Oreochromis niloticus: one gene and its partner. The protein of the gene in region 1 purifies or fractionates together with the protein of each later gene. This does not show direct contact. Links are inferred from orthologs where the notes say so. Each region holds a gene or a part of one and is shown in the gene's direction. Other genes may lie near its edges.

What was found. Proteins that work in one complex are often made in the same cells at the same time.
Region 2: the proteins of crkl (region 1) and rapgef1b purify together in Homo sapiens (affinity purification with western blotting; 16 studies listed by BioGRID and IntAct, with this or other methods). This does not show direct contact. The link is inferred for Oreochromis niloticus from reciprocal best matches to the Homo sapiens genes CRKL and RAPGEF1.

Annotation. Positions count from the first base shown.
Region 1 is NC_031972.2:23,838,212-23,845,292, reverse strand, and holds the start of crkl (crk-like protein), read left to right. Parts: upstream 1-4,080; 5' UTR 4,081-5,090; coding exon 5,091-5,401; intron 5,402-5,785; coding exon 5,786-6,257; intron 6,258-7,081. UniProt on the Homo sapiens protein: May mediate the transduction of intracellular signals.
Region 2 is NC_031972.2:16,285,905-16,293,380, forward strand, and holds the start of rapgef1b (rap guanine nucleotide exchange factor 1b), read left to right. Parts: upstream 1-4,459; 5' UTR 4,460-4,552; coding exon 4,553-4,583; intron 4,584-7,476. UniProt on the Homo sapiens protein: Guanine nucleotide-releasing protein that binds to SH3 domain of CRK and GRB2/ASH. Transduces signals from CRK to activate RAS. Involved in cell branching and adhesion mediated by BCAR1-CRK-RAPGEF1 signaling and activation of RAP1.

The DNA of each region.
Region 1 (7,081 bases):
GTCACTTAGGTTTTGATCGCTACAGATTTGCCAAAGTGTGCCAAAGTGTGCGATAATTAGATATATTAAGAAATGTATTTAAAGCTTTGATTTATTTGTTTATGTGGAGCATTACTTGTGTTTAATTAAGCCCAACCGCGGTCCTGTTTACATGGTTTATGAGTCATTTTCTGCTTCACAGGCTACATTTCCCTTTATTCCTTCTCTTTAGAAGAACCCTCACCAGCTCCTTTAGTTGCTGATTCATCCATAACATCTATATTGGACATGTATTTACAGTATAAACACTGCATAAAGTTGAACAGAATAAAATAAACAAGCCGTGGCGTGTCTTTTTATTGAACCTGCTTGTCATATGAACGCTTCACTGAAAACGAGGAAGTTAAAATAACCAAAAGCAGAATTGACCACTTGACAGGCCTGGCTACAGCAACGTCGTCAGTTGCACTAGATTAGGCTGTGGTCTCGTATTAACTCTTCACTAACTGAATGAAAAAATAATTAGTGAGAACAAAAAAGTTTAGAAAGTTAAGGTAAGACTATGAGCATGAAGTTGTCACAGGTAATGCAATGTGATATTGTAAGAAACAAGAGATAATTGTGGCTTCTTAAAGTTTTAGAAATGCTATGGGGAAGTGGCTCATTTAAAAACATTTGAACCAAAGCAACAACAAACTGAAACATGAGGAAGTAATGAAGCGGGTGAAAATGCTTTATCTGAAGCCTTTATTGTGAACCTGGTGTACCTGTAGAAATCTAGAAGTATTTCTAGAAATGTAGAATATCTATGGATATCTACCTATTTGTGTCCATTTAGTAGCATGTAAACAGGTTTACCTTTACAGAAACCTGACTGCATATTCTGGGAAACCAGGCTGAGAGGTAAAAGGTGACTCATGCCATGGAGGCTGTAACAGTGAGTCGCTCATCTATATAAACCCTTACACTGGTCTAAAAATGCACTGACTCTTTAACAGCAGCATCTCGTGCCATATTTACCAGTCTGCTGCTTGTCTGTCGTTAGTCTTCACATCAAAGCATGCTCAACTTTGAACTGAATGCCAGTGACAACAATCAGGAACGTGGTAGGATGTTAAAATAAAATATAGTAGAGGCTAAGTATTTCAAAAGTGAAGGCTGGGAGGGGGTTCGCCCACTGCCAGAAACTGCATGGATAGAGAATACAGGTATTTTATCATATATGGTAAAAACTTAACATGATCTTGTTCCTGAATGCCTGTCTGTGTGACCCTGGGCAGGATTTGTCAAGGTAATCTGTGTGTTTGTGTTCTGGCACATGAGAGCAAGGTTGCAACTCTGCTCAACAGCTTTAGTATCTATGATTTATTCGAAGTTAAAATAAAATAAAAAGCTTTTTTTAAGCAAAATTTACAGTCTCAGAGAAACTGACCTTTCCAACACAGGTCTTATCCTGCACCATGTGAACATCCTCTTCAAAACGTGATTTAGATTATAATTAACTGCAGTTTGCATCACTACACTGGAATTCCTGTCACTGTCTCACAGGATACATCACCATGAAAATAATAAATATAAGTTTAATGCACAAAGAAAAGAGCTGGAGAAAGACGCTGTGTGAAAGAGATAAAGGCACAGAAGGGTAGTGAGGGGTTGAAGTGGTTACAAGCAGAAGATGGTTTGTAAAATGTGTAAGTTTCTTATGAAGTCTTAAGTGTTAAGTCTTAAGTGGGGGAAGGGGAATTTATTTGCAGACTAACGGCCTTTACACACAATCTGACTGGCTGAAATAAAACTGTGCCGATGCTCTCTGCAGTGTCTTAGGTTGCGTCTTCTGCAGCCGAAAAATGAGCTGGGTGGAGAGGGGGCCTCTCCAGCCATAATTACTTTTCTTTTGTTGCGCCTGTGCAAAGAACAAGATCACAGGTTTTGTTCACTAGTTCCTTGTGCAACAACTCATCGACCACCGATTAGGTCAAGGGTGGTTGTGTCATCTGTGCATTTAATCTTCAGACTCCAGGGCATCAAGACTGAGCTAAAGGGAGCATCCATTCAAGGTTACTGTGTTGATGTGAGTTTAACAGAGGCTAAAAGTTTTCTAAGCTATTGCAAAACCAGTTACAGGTGGGTTTTTGGGTTGAAGAACCAGCTTTTCTAGGCTTTTCTGCGTGTGTGCTGGCCTGAAGTTATCCATTTTGGTATGGTGGGTTTTTGTAGCAGCTGGTACTTAAGAGAGCACTTGAAGGACTGTAGAACTGCTGCTTAGGTGGTCAAAAATTCACGTTTCATTACGTTTGGACCTGTAGTATCGCTTAATCTTAACCTGCCATACAGACAGACAACAGAATCTATTGATAATGGGATGATGGCAGGCATTGCCTTTTGCATACATCCACTAGATGGTGATGTTTGTGAAGAAACCTTCAGTGTGCATCTACATACAAGGTTAGACAGCAGGTCAGACAACGATACTGTATGTCTCACCCTGCAAAATCCCACAAAGCCAATCTCTTAAATGAAAAGTTGCCCTAGTTAGAAGCCAGTATGGTTCGTGCATATAATATCAGCCTTTTTACCCATAATTCTAAGTAAACTAGTCTGTTTTTTGTTTCTCTTTCCAATTAGTTGCATCACTGCATCTTTGTGGAAATGTGGGAGTTGGCAGGCTTTAGCCATTAAGTCTCGGTGGGTGCAAATCTATTAACATTCAGACAGTGTTTCAGTGATGAGAGCTGTTCTGTGCCAGCTGTAGCCTCATGAGGCACGGCCACTGAAAGCTCAGTCACCACAGGGACAGAGCTACTTCTTTACAGATCCTGCTTTTATCACTGAGTAAAACTTGTTCTGCTTGGCTGAATGGCTTGCCGCACTCTGCTTGTGTTCTCAGATGCATTCTTTCGCTTAGATTGCATTCTTCTTCTTCAGAGACACTGCCCCTTGCATTTAAATGCGCTCTCTCTCTTTCTCTCCGTCTCTCTCTCTCTCGCAGCATATTCTGTTTTGGGTTGGGTCATTCTGGGTGAGCTCCAAATCGATTTTTCACAGTTCTTTGCCAGATAATACTTATTATGAGAATGAATGAAGGGGAAGTTAAATAACACAAGGAAATGAAAATAGGGAAATAAGTACAATTTTTTACTGGTGGTATGAATTAGTTGTTGACTGAGCAAATATACTGTACCTATGGGCTGCGGTTATGTGGCTAAAAAAGTATATTAAAAACACACGAGCTGACCACTGATTTAAAGGCACAGAACACAAAAACATCCGAGACAATCACTAAACACAGTACTAACATAAGAACACGTTGTTCGGCAGACATCTGACCTTTTTTTATTCAGAACTGTAGCTTATTCTATCTGTCAATCATTTTATAGAATAATGTTTTCCATTTATAGAAAAAAAAGCTCAATTTTGATGCTCCTCTTCACACACCTACATAACTACCTGTCAAAAGTACATATATTAGCACTGTCTACTCCACAGTATCTACTTCAAAGCTGCAATGGATCGCAAAATATGCTCCACTGTTGTAGGGTAAAAGTAGTAGTTAAATTAGCCTAGCTTTAACAGAACCAGCTATGACTGTGAAACACTGCCTACACATATTTCCAATTAAGAATCAACTAATGACAGTGCAGGGATATAAACAGAAATAACACCTCGCTCTCATACACATATAGTATGTTACAGCAGCTTTTAACATCAATGTTGCCTACTTAAGACCTGACTGCTTAGCCTCTCTATTGGTTTAGCATTTATTTGAGGTTTAGCCACTCTTTAACCTGATTTAAACTGTGGTATTATATTTTTGAGTCACACGGTGAATCCCTTTTAAGTTTTGAAAAGCAAACATCCAATTAAATTACTACGTCAAAGCAGGAACACGGAGTAAAAAATACACTTGTATCTCGACATGCTCCATATTGCTATATTCACTATATTCCCGAGACGATGGAACAGCTACTTCTATCAGCAGAATGGTTCACTGAGAAATGACTGACACCTACTCTCGCAGAGCTAGGGGCTGTCCGTGGCTTCGCCAAACGCCCACCTCCTTCCTTCACTTCTCCCCCCCTCCCCTCTCTCTCGCTCCTGCCGTCAGTGACGCGCTGATAGAAAGCGGGACCTGCCCTCCCGTCGCCATTTTTCGACCTCAGTACTTCTGGTAGCCTGTGCTAGTGGGGACGAGCGGAAATAAGGGAAAGTATAAAATATAGCAATCGTTAAGCCGAGATCCCTCGTGAGCGGTCGGGGATGCACGCGACAGCTCCTGTAAACGGTCGTGGCTCCTGAGATGCACGCGCAGGAGACGAGCCGCTGCCCTGAAATCATTTTTTTGTGTGAAGACGTGTTGCGAGCCGCCATTTTTCTGCTGTGTTGCCTCAAAAGTCTGCTCCGACTCGAGAAAGGGGATTCGAAAACGCGTTTCCATGAAGTGTGTCTCGCCGTGAGCTCCGCAGGATTTCGGCTGATAGTTTCGTGACCTGCCGGGGACCTTTGTGCACAGATGAGGGATTATCGGATGTAAGAAAAAAGAAGAAGAAGGGGGGAAAAGTGAGGCCACATTTTCCGCTCTCACAACTGATACTGACTGGAGGAGATACATTTATTAGAAGAGAAGATTTGGTGTTTTCTCGGAAGGCGGAACGAAAAGGGGAAGCTTCATTGATCGTTTGCTTCTCTGGCCCTCCGTCAATGGTAGCCTGTCGTAAGTTTGCTCGTTTTTCTTCTGTTTTTTGGCCCCCTTTTAACAACTGCTCGGCCGCAGACTGGGACAACAGTATGCTCCAGAGTTGGATCAAGTCACTGGCAGCCTGCATCTGAAAGGAGGGGAAAAAAAGAAAACAAAAACGCCAGGTTGTTTTTGTTTTTCTTAAACAGATTTTTTCGGTGCCTGAGGCGTTTTGTGAAGAAATCACTCGGAAACTCCTTCCAGAGCGACGAGTGCCCTGCCCTGAGTCTTCCAAATCCTACAGTTTGCTGTGATTGGCCAATTGGAACCACGCATACAGCTTTTAACTTATTGCCTAGCCAATCCTGTAGTATTTTCCTTTCTATTATTATTAATATTAATTTGTAAGCCCACATTAACTTATTTTTGAACAGAAATGTCAACTGCTCGATTTGATTCCTCTGATCGGTCCGCCTGGTATTTTGGACCCGTGTCACGACAGGAGGCACAGAATAGGTTACAAGGACAGAGACATGGCATGTTTCTTGTTCGAGACTCGTCGACCTGCCCCGGCGACTACGTACTGTCGGTGTCGGAAAACTCCAAAGTGTCTCACTATATCATCAACTCTTTGCCCAGCAAGAGGTTCAAAATAGGGGATCAAGAGTTCGACCACCTCCCAGCTCTCCTGGAGTTCTACAAAATCCATTACTTGGACACGACCACGCTGATAGAGCCAGCCCCCAGGTAGGGAGGTCACCCACCACGCCTCCTCTAGCACTTTACCATACTATTTTTATCAGAACTAACCCAGTTTCACTTGGTTATGTCATAAAATCAGCACTATTACCACACATCTAGTTTGCTTGTTTGTTTGTTTGTTTGGGGGTTTTGTTTTTTCTTTGAAGTGTTGGTACCACTGGAAAAATAAACCTCACTCAGGATTTGTGTGGTTTTATAGCCAAACCTGATACCACATTTTGGTAATTGAGGAGTTAGGTAATCATGTTTATAAAGGATTTTATTCAACAAATAATGCAGTTTTGTTGTATTCTAGGCTTCACAGTGATGACTTTTAAGGATAACCAATTAACATTTACTTAATTTCGTCATTATTTTTAATTTTCTAAGGTATTCAAGTACACCGAGTCCTCCTGTCCAGCCCATGGTTGGAGCAGAGGAGAATCTGGAGTATGTGCGGACTCTATACGACTTCACCGGCAGCGATGCTGAGGACCTTCCCTTCAAGAAGGGGGAGATCCTTATCATCCTGGAAAAACCGGAGGAGCAGTGGTGGAGCGCCAAGAATAAAGATGGACGTGCTGGGATGATCCCTGTGCCCTACGTAGAGAAAGTGGTACGACCTTCACTCCACCCTGGCCAACCTTCTCATGGATCGCGAAACTCCAACAGCTATGGGATCCCTGAGCCCTCCAATGCTCTTGCTCATGCCTATGCCCAACCCCAGACGCCTTCTCCAATGCCCAACGCACCTGGAGCAGTTATCGCTCCGCTACCGTCCATGCAGAACGGCCCTGTCATGGCGAAAGCCATCCAGAAACGAGTGCCCTGTGCCTACGACAAGACTGCTCTTGCTCTAGAGGTATTGTATTTATTTGATCTTACCTGTTTTATTTCTTTGTTTTTGTTTTTTTTCTAGGGGATCAGTGTAATTTCATCATGTTTTAATGCACTGCTCATTTTTATAAAGGATGGATATTGTAATTAAATCGTTAACTTTTCATAAATCTGTTTAGCTGGACCTTTGATCTGTAATGCAACATCATGCAGTAAATTAATATGCCAGGTAAGGGCCTGGAGTACAACACGCTATAAGCTTCTTTGCCTAAAGCAGCAGTATTCCATCTTCAGTCATTTCTTAATTATTTTTCCATCTGCGCCCAAATAAATCAAAGATGTCTGTGTGCAGCTTAGACTTTTCTACACAAATTAGTTTATCACCTCAGTCAAGTTAAAACACTGAAAAAACTTGTGTTTTTACATTTTCACAACCTGACAGCTCTCTAGGAGCTGTCAGGTTACTTAAACATAGACAACAATCTCAAGAGGTAACTCTTATAAAAATTAGGTTGTGTGACCAAAGCTTGGAGAGGCTTCTGTGTAAAACTATCACTTCTTTTTATACTAAAACTGCAAAATTAAGTAGTAGAATGACCTGGGGAAACACCAGTCCCGCCTTCAGTTACCACAGTAGTTTTGCTGGGTTCAATGTGAGAAAGTGTCTACAGATAAGCTTCGCCTTTTCTGAGTCCTTTTGACATTCTAGCCTCTTGATGTGTGCTCACACTAAAAGACTAATAACCAAACTGTGGTTTTAGCATCTTGCTGCTTGCTCTTATCAGGCCCTTCCTGTTTGTTTGAATATAAAAAGTTATTATTACACCAGGAGACTATGTCTGTTCACAA
Region 2 (7,476 bases), about 7.6 Mb from region 1:
CCACCGCGAAGATCAAACCCCATCTCAAAGCTCTCGCTGACAGCTCTCAGCTAACAAAACTCTCCTGCCTCTCCTTTCTTTGCCCCGTCTAATGGTGAACTGCATCCAGCGCACAGCTGACCTGATCTTGCTGCAAGCCCAGAGTGGAAATTTCCCAGTGTGAACCGGTATAAAGCTTCCCACATTCATCAGAGGTATCGACCCTGAATATCTGAGCGTGGTGATGGATTAACCTGCTTGCTATTTCCAAACATCTGTCTTCATTAAGGGGAGTAGTTATAACTTTAAACAGTGGAATTAATATATTTTTTTAACTATTTGGTGACTTATTAAGATGATCATACTGATTTTTTTTAATTGCTGCCCTCAGTGAAGCTCATCAAAGAGCTTTATCATTGTATTACCAGATTCTGTGACATTTACCCGCATGTACAGCACATTACTAGAAGTGTACCACCACAGGGTCGTGAGGCTGAGCTCCAGCATACAAGAATGATCAGTGGACCAAGAGCACCACTCTGTGGCATAAAGCGGCATGACTCGTGTGCTTGGTTTACTATGCAGCCAGCAAAGGGCTGCGCTGAGGCTTAAGTGACATTTAATGAAAAAAAGTGAAAATGATATGAAAGAAAACAAAGACAAATGTGAGTCATGTGACAAAGCAGTAAGATGTAGAAGACTCCTCTAGTTATTGCTGTGTATATTTTAAAGTCTTGTCTCATTAGTAGAGCCAGCAATCAGTTGTCACTCGTGGCAGAGAGGCTTTACGCTGACTTGTGAAGCTGAAATTTCAAGCCCCAAAGTGAACGTGGTCATTAGATGAGACAGCTGCTTGGATGTTTCTGTGGGAGACTGAATGCAGGCTGTCAGGAAAACACCAAGACGCTCTAAAACAGACCAACTCTGACTGCGCTGTGAGGCCCTATCCTGCCCTGACAAGTCTGGCATTGCTTGGCAGATCATTGTCTTCCCTCTGTGACTTTATCATAGCCTCGGGGAACGTATTCCACTCCTTCCCCTCCTCCACACACACCCACACACCTCTCCCTAGCACAAACACACAAAGCAAGCACTTTGCACTTCTTATATGGGTGTGGCTTCTGCTGCGCAAGCAAGAGCACAAGGGAGCAGGCATAATGACAGCCAGTGTAAATATGAATCCTTGACACTCAAGGCCTTTCTCTGATAAGCGATTAAATCCGGTCGCTGATGAGGTGAGCGGCACCAAAGCTCAGAAGAAGCGGCCAACAGTGTGTAATGAACTCCTTATCTCAGTATTTTAATGCATGCCTCTGCGTTCACGGACGCACTGTGAGTGTATGAGCTGACCCAGATCACTCACGGAATGTAGATCACTCTGTCAGTCAGATCAATTATTCATAAAACGTTGATATGGCATGCTCGCTTCGTCTTGGTACACTCAAGACATAATCTAGATGGTTGCACTTTAATAGAGAGGATAATGTGAAGCACTAAGTGAGCAAATGCCATAGTCAGCAGTTGAAACGAGCATCAAATTAGAGCCATGCTTCCCCTTTCTTCTTCTACTCGGCCTTTAATTTTCCTGTCACATGTAGTACATGAATGGTAACAAGGAGAAAATAAGAAAAAATGTAGTTGTAGTATATGCATCTAAGCAAGGTTTTAGCATGCCCAACAGGGGGCTCTGTGCTTCCATTTAACATGTAAATGGTTCAAACTACTCTGTAATTACAAAGCAGAAGTTAATATATCCTCCCGAGAACCGAGGAACAGTGAATCTTTCCACTTTTTTTGTGATTTCCTTCCCTTTTGAAACCAAAAGACAAACACACGAAATATCAATGGAAAGCCCATGATGTCCTCTATTTGGTACATCAGGACTTATTAGGATAGGTCAAATGAGCCAAAAGATATAGACAAAAAACTAATGTCTATGACAGAGGACATAGATATTACTGAAATATTAAAATTTTCAACTACCACTTTTAAAATCACAATTCTTGCTTATTTTAAAAGAACTTTTGTGAATGCCGTTATTTACTGGCTTTTGATTGGAGATCAAATGTGGAAAAAATAACAGGTTTGCCTCTAGATACACAAACTAGAGCTGATGTGCTAAATGTTCAAACGACCAGTAGTGATTCAAAACCGCTCGAAGCATAAATCACCTCTGCTATGAAAACACTCCCCTTGTATAAAATATTTATTGGGAAAAAAAATCTAATTAAGAGTTACTCTGGCTGTTGTCCGTACCATTATCTTTTGACTTAATTGATTGGAGGATGAGATGCAGCCAAGATGTGGGTCTTGCCAGGCTGGCTTCCTGGTCAAAACACTGCACACACACACACACACACACACACACACACACACACACTGAACTCTAGGCAAGTATACTAAATGATAAGCAAAAATACAAGAAATGCTGTGCTGTGTTTTCAGAGTAAGAGCTGCCCTGAAAGTGCCTTAGAGAGGAAAAAATGTGTGCCGAAATACACTAACGTTAACTGTAACTGCTTAATACTAGAGGATATGGAAAGTAAAGACCCTACAGTGCTACAGAGAAACCCCTCCAATCAGAGACCCTGTGAGCAACCACTTGGTGACAGCGGGGAAAAAAACCCTCTTTTAACAGGACGAAATGCAAACTAGTGTATAAACAGTGAAAAGTGAGTGAAAAGACGTGTGCAAAGAAAAAAATGCAAACCAGTTACACTTCCAGAAAAAAACTGCGAAGTGTCCATGCATTTTCTAGCGCTCACACGTCTTTTTAGATAGATTCCTTCATTTAACCAGGTATTGTACTTTTAATCGTTATGTGCTTTTCAACTTTATTACAGTCGCATGTTCCAAAACATGTGAATAACATAGATATTAACAAGCAAAAGAACCAAGGCAAATGTCTGTGAGTAACGCTTTAAAACTTTAGATCCCTCGCAATCTAAAAATCTTTGGCGATGTAATCTTTTTAATTTGCTGAAACTGATTATTAACCATATATTAATTATTAATTATTATATAGAGCGCCATTGCTTTGTTTTGATGATCACACCGATCAACATCCCTGCTCTATCTTTTTGTGCAACACTTGATTTCTTCAGGAGCTTTTACTAGTTTTAAGACTTGTTCTGTCTTTTTGGCCATGATGCTGGTTTTGAACCGAGCTGCTGAAATGGCTGTTTGAAGCCTGCGGACTCCATCATTTCATTAGCCTTCTGCTGCTAAAATTGATTAGGTAAAAAAAAAAATCGCTACCGTCCAGGCTACCCTGCAATTTTTTTCCATCTACGATAGATTGATATATGGGCGAATGGATGATTGGTGAATTTCCACATTATTTTTTAATTGCATGAAAAAGACAGATGACTTAATTTATGAGTCTGTGTGCAACAGTACTTGCAAAATCAGTATGGATTACACTCGAGGCTTGCTTTAACTTTGAACTGAAATCGAAACACGCCCATGCTCTTGTTGACAGATGGCGTGGCTAATTCCTGACGCAAGGGGGCGCTGTTGCACTGGGTGATAGCCTACCCTAGCCGAGTCTCCGCTCAAGGCATTAACGTGAGCGTAGTGTGTGTGTGTGTATCCAGCGAAAATTACCCGGAGACGGACGGAGGCAGTTTATAACCGTACCAATGTCTGTGGCCTATAAATATATTATATTAACCGGGGCGGAATCATCTCGTGGACACAATATATCGAAAATGAGGGAATAATCCGAGGAGAGGCACGGCGAGGCTCGTCTGTAGCTACGGTTTTGTTGAACTGCGAGTGGGATCACAGCTGCTGGCTACGAAAATGTCGAGAAAAATAGAGAGCAAGCAAGGTAAGTCCTGCCCGGCTAGACTGAACCTCACCGCTCCACCTTCGGGATACTGTATAACGGTCTCCCTTACACGGGGCTCGGATGGATCAAATTATGGGGGTCTGTTGACCAACACATACGCCAACAAAAAAGGGGGTGCTCAAGATAAAGCTTGGATGAGTGTGTTGGGTGTAAATGGTGGTTTAATTGGGCCTCACGGATTGTTCTTTTTCTCGGCTATCCAGTTAAAATAAAGCGTCTGCTAGCTGGTAGCGGCTAATGATATTTTCATATTTTTGGTCCCGTTTTTAAACCAAAAGGTTGACTTAAGGAGAGCTGGTTAACTGACCCGTTAGTTAAAATAATACAGCTTCTCGTGCTCAAAACAGTTTAGCGAGCTAGTCCGGGGAAATAGCATTTTATTTTTTATAAAAAAAATCGTGCTGGCTTTTCTTACATGGTACTACACCGGCATTTCTCCATTCACTCTCGGCACGGGGGTCGTAAATACACCACCCCGGTTTGATTGTTTGCGAGCGTTGCTAACCATCTCGGGACAAATCTCTGAATTTCACTCAAGAGGAAACACGTGTGTTTCGCCTTTTTCCCCTTTGAAAGACGCGTAAATGAATGAATATGTGGTGTGACATTTTTCTCCTGCCTCCCAATTGGCCGTCCGCGAATATTTAAAGACGGGTTTAGCTAGCACCAGCTCAAGGTTAGCTTTTACTGGCTAAGGCTAGCTGCCTTGTTACCCCTGGAATGGGATTGCGTTCACGCGCTGGGCTGCTGGGTGTGTATTTGTGTTGATTTTCACTATTGTGCACGTGGCATTTTTTTGTTGTTGGTTTGACCCGTATTTTTATTTATTTTTTTCATTTTGTCTACTCGTGTCGCTCACTTTCTCACTTTCACTCTCACTGCGGAGCACAATCACTACGGGAGGAAACGCAGTAGTGTTGGGGTATGGATGGGATTTTGGGAAGGAAACTTTATACCCGTCAGCTACACTTGCATCCCATTCCAGCAGCTGTCTCCTTGCTTCGCTCCACATAGTGTCCTGCCCAGTGTTGCCTGCAGTAAGTGGGCGAAAAGGCGAACACACGCACACACTGAGAGCCCCCAGTAACAGGAGGGGAGGGAGTGTCATCCACCACTAGCTCAGTCATTCTTCATAGGCGTAAAAGTTTCCGATTCCTTTCGTGTCTTGCGGACAGATGACTACATATGGTCACAACTAAATGAAAAGTCAGAGGCAGTGCAAGGGTTTTGTTTTTTATTTTGTTTTCTTTTTTTGTAGACTCTTTGCTTAACTGATAACTTAAAAGCAAGTACCCAAACCATCACTTCTCCCCTGCTTCCATTCTTCCCAGTTGTGTTTACTTGTTGGTCACTTGTTGGTCTGTTATCATGTGCCCATTGATCCCAAATATGTCCCCCAAGGACACACTGTGCTGGTTGCTAGTGTAATGGAAACAGGGGAGGGCGAGACTTGAGATTCAGAACAGAAAACTGCAGCAGGCAGTGCATGAGTGTGAGAGAAAGTGTGAAAGGCTTCTTCTCTGGAGACTAGATAGAAACAGGGTGACAGTTTTAGTCGCTGGCAGTATGGTGCCTTGAGGAGCAAACACATGGACACCAAATTCACTAGCTGCATCAACATACTCCTCCGATCACCGGGGATGGTGTCACCCAGTCACTAATTTGCCCTTCTCGCAGGAAGCAAAAGTGAACCTCATGTGCGGTGGAGCCCAGGCGTGTCGCCTCTGATGAAATCAGGTTCTTGCGCTGAACCCCATTCTCTGCATACTCACTCACATGACTTCATCACTCAGGCAGCCCAAAACTGAAATCCATAAACAGATTCAGTGTGTTGCGGTGTTTGCCCCCCAAAAGAACGTAACAGCAGCCAGACAGCCGAAGCTGTTTCTTAATGCTTTTCTCAGAAGGCTTAAAAGCTTTGAGTCTGTGTGATCACATTTTGGTGTAAGCTAAAACTTGAAGATGCTGTCAGGTAGCCTGCCTTAATAATAGTACATGATGTGAGCTGAATGACTAGTTTGGTGTGCAGTGTCAGCACATATTAATAGCTCCGAGGCATCTTTTTTTTTTCTTCTCTTTTTCCTGTCTTTCAGTGCATTAAGCAATTTAAGTTTTCCGAATGTTGCTAAATGAGCTCATGATTAGTAGTATAAAGAGTTGTGGGGGTGCTGACATTGATCAAAAGTTAAAAATCCTTCTCATCCACTGCTCATCACTGGTGAACGATGTATTGTTGACAGGAATTATTTCTGGCTGGTTTTGAGAGTGCTGCACTGTGACTTGCAGACTCTGCTCAGACACTTTCTAATCCCGCAGCGTTTTATGTAGGTACCGTATGTTTACTTGTTGGATGTCATACTTTAAATGACCCACTTAGAATGATTCCACTGTTGCAGTTAAATTAAGATGTGAAACATTTAGCGCAGCAGTCCTGAAACGGGATTTGTTGTTGCCAAAATGGCCTGATTTTTGAAATGAAAGCGATACAAAATTTTAAGGAAGAAACCCCATTTAGCGTCACTTTGAAGAACCAGCCCAGAATCCACTTTTCAGGAAGATCTTCCGCATAAAAACAGAGACACATCACCTGGGATGACTTTTCCTTCATTCGATTTGTATTTCCGTTCTTGTTTTGTCTACATGTGTATGAAGCCTTCATTCACACAAACCATTCTAAAACTGCACGGGTCAATAAAAATCTGTTCTAACTGACCCGTTGCCAGGATATTTGCCCTTTGTACACTTTAAAGATTGTTATTTTGCTCAAACCTCAGAGTTCCACTGTTCTTTTCACTGGTGTCTTTTTCTAATAATAGCAGTCATAATAATAACTAGTTTTCATGCACTGTCTCAGTGACAGTACAATCAAAGGTGATGTGAGAGACAGTGCAGCTTTTCAATATCTTTTAGTATTTGTTTTTGTTTTTAGGTAAGTTAGCTACATTAATGCATTAACATTACTACTTTTTCAGCAGCAGAGAACAGCATCTGTTCTTTAGCCACTGCTTTCTTAAACACCATACCAGCTCTGGGTTGAGTTATTGTAGTCATTTGGCCAGCGTTAGTGCAAAGTTTTGTAACATGTTTCTGTGGTGTGTGTGTGTGGGTGTGTGTGTGTTGGCTAGCTGGGCTTGTTTGTCAGTGCTTAATTTAGTCATTTCAGTCTGCTAACATTAGCCTGTTAATGATATGATACAAAATACTGAGAGATGTCTTTTTTAAAAAACATTTTTATTATAATATCAGGTGATCACGACTAAGACGTGCTGTATTGCTTTTTTAGCTTGTTTGTTTTTTTTTTTTTTTAGATGAACTACAAGACTATATTTCTATCCCATGATAAGCATTTATTTCAAAAATGCACGTAGTCATTTGTGAATTAAATAAAAATTTAATAATTTAATAAAATTAATTTAAAAAAATAAAAATGAAGTAAAAAGAAGAACTGTTCTTTTATCTCCCACTCGCATCAGGCTTGGATGCTGTGCACACTTTACAGCACTAAATACACTTTAAACACACTAGAAAAGCTGCTTAAAAAAAGATCATTGAGATTTTCACAGTTGCAAAAATTTCCCTCATGCAGACTGGGGTTGTGACACGACACATTTTGGCACACCAGTGTTGGTAAAAAAGTCGTGAGA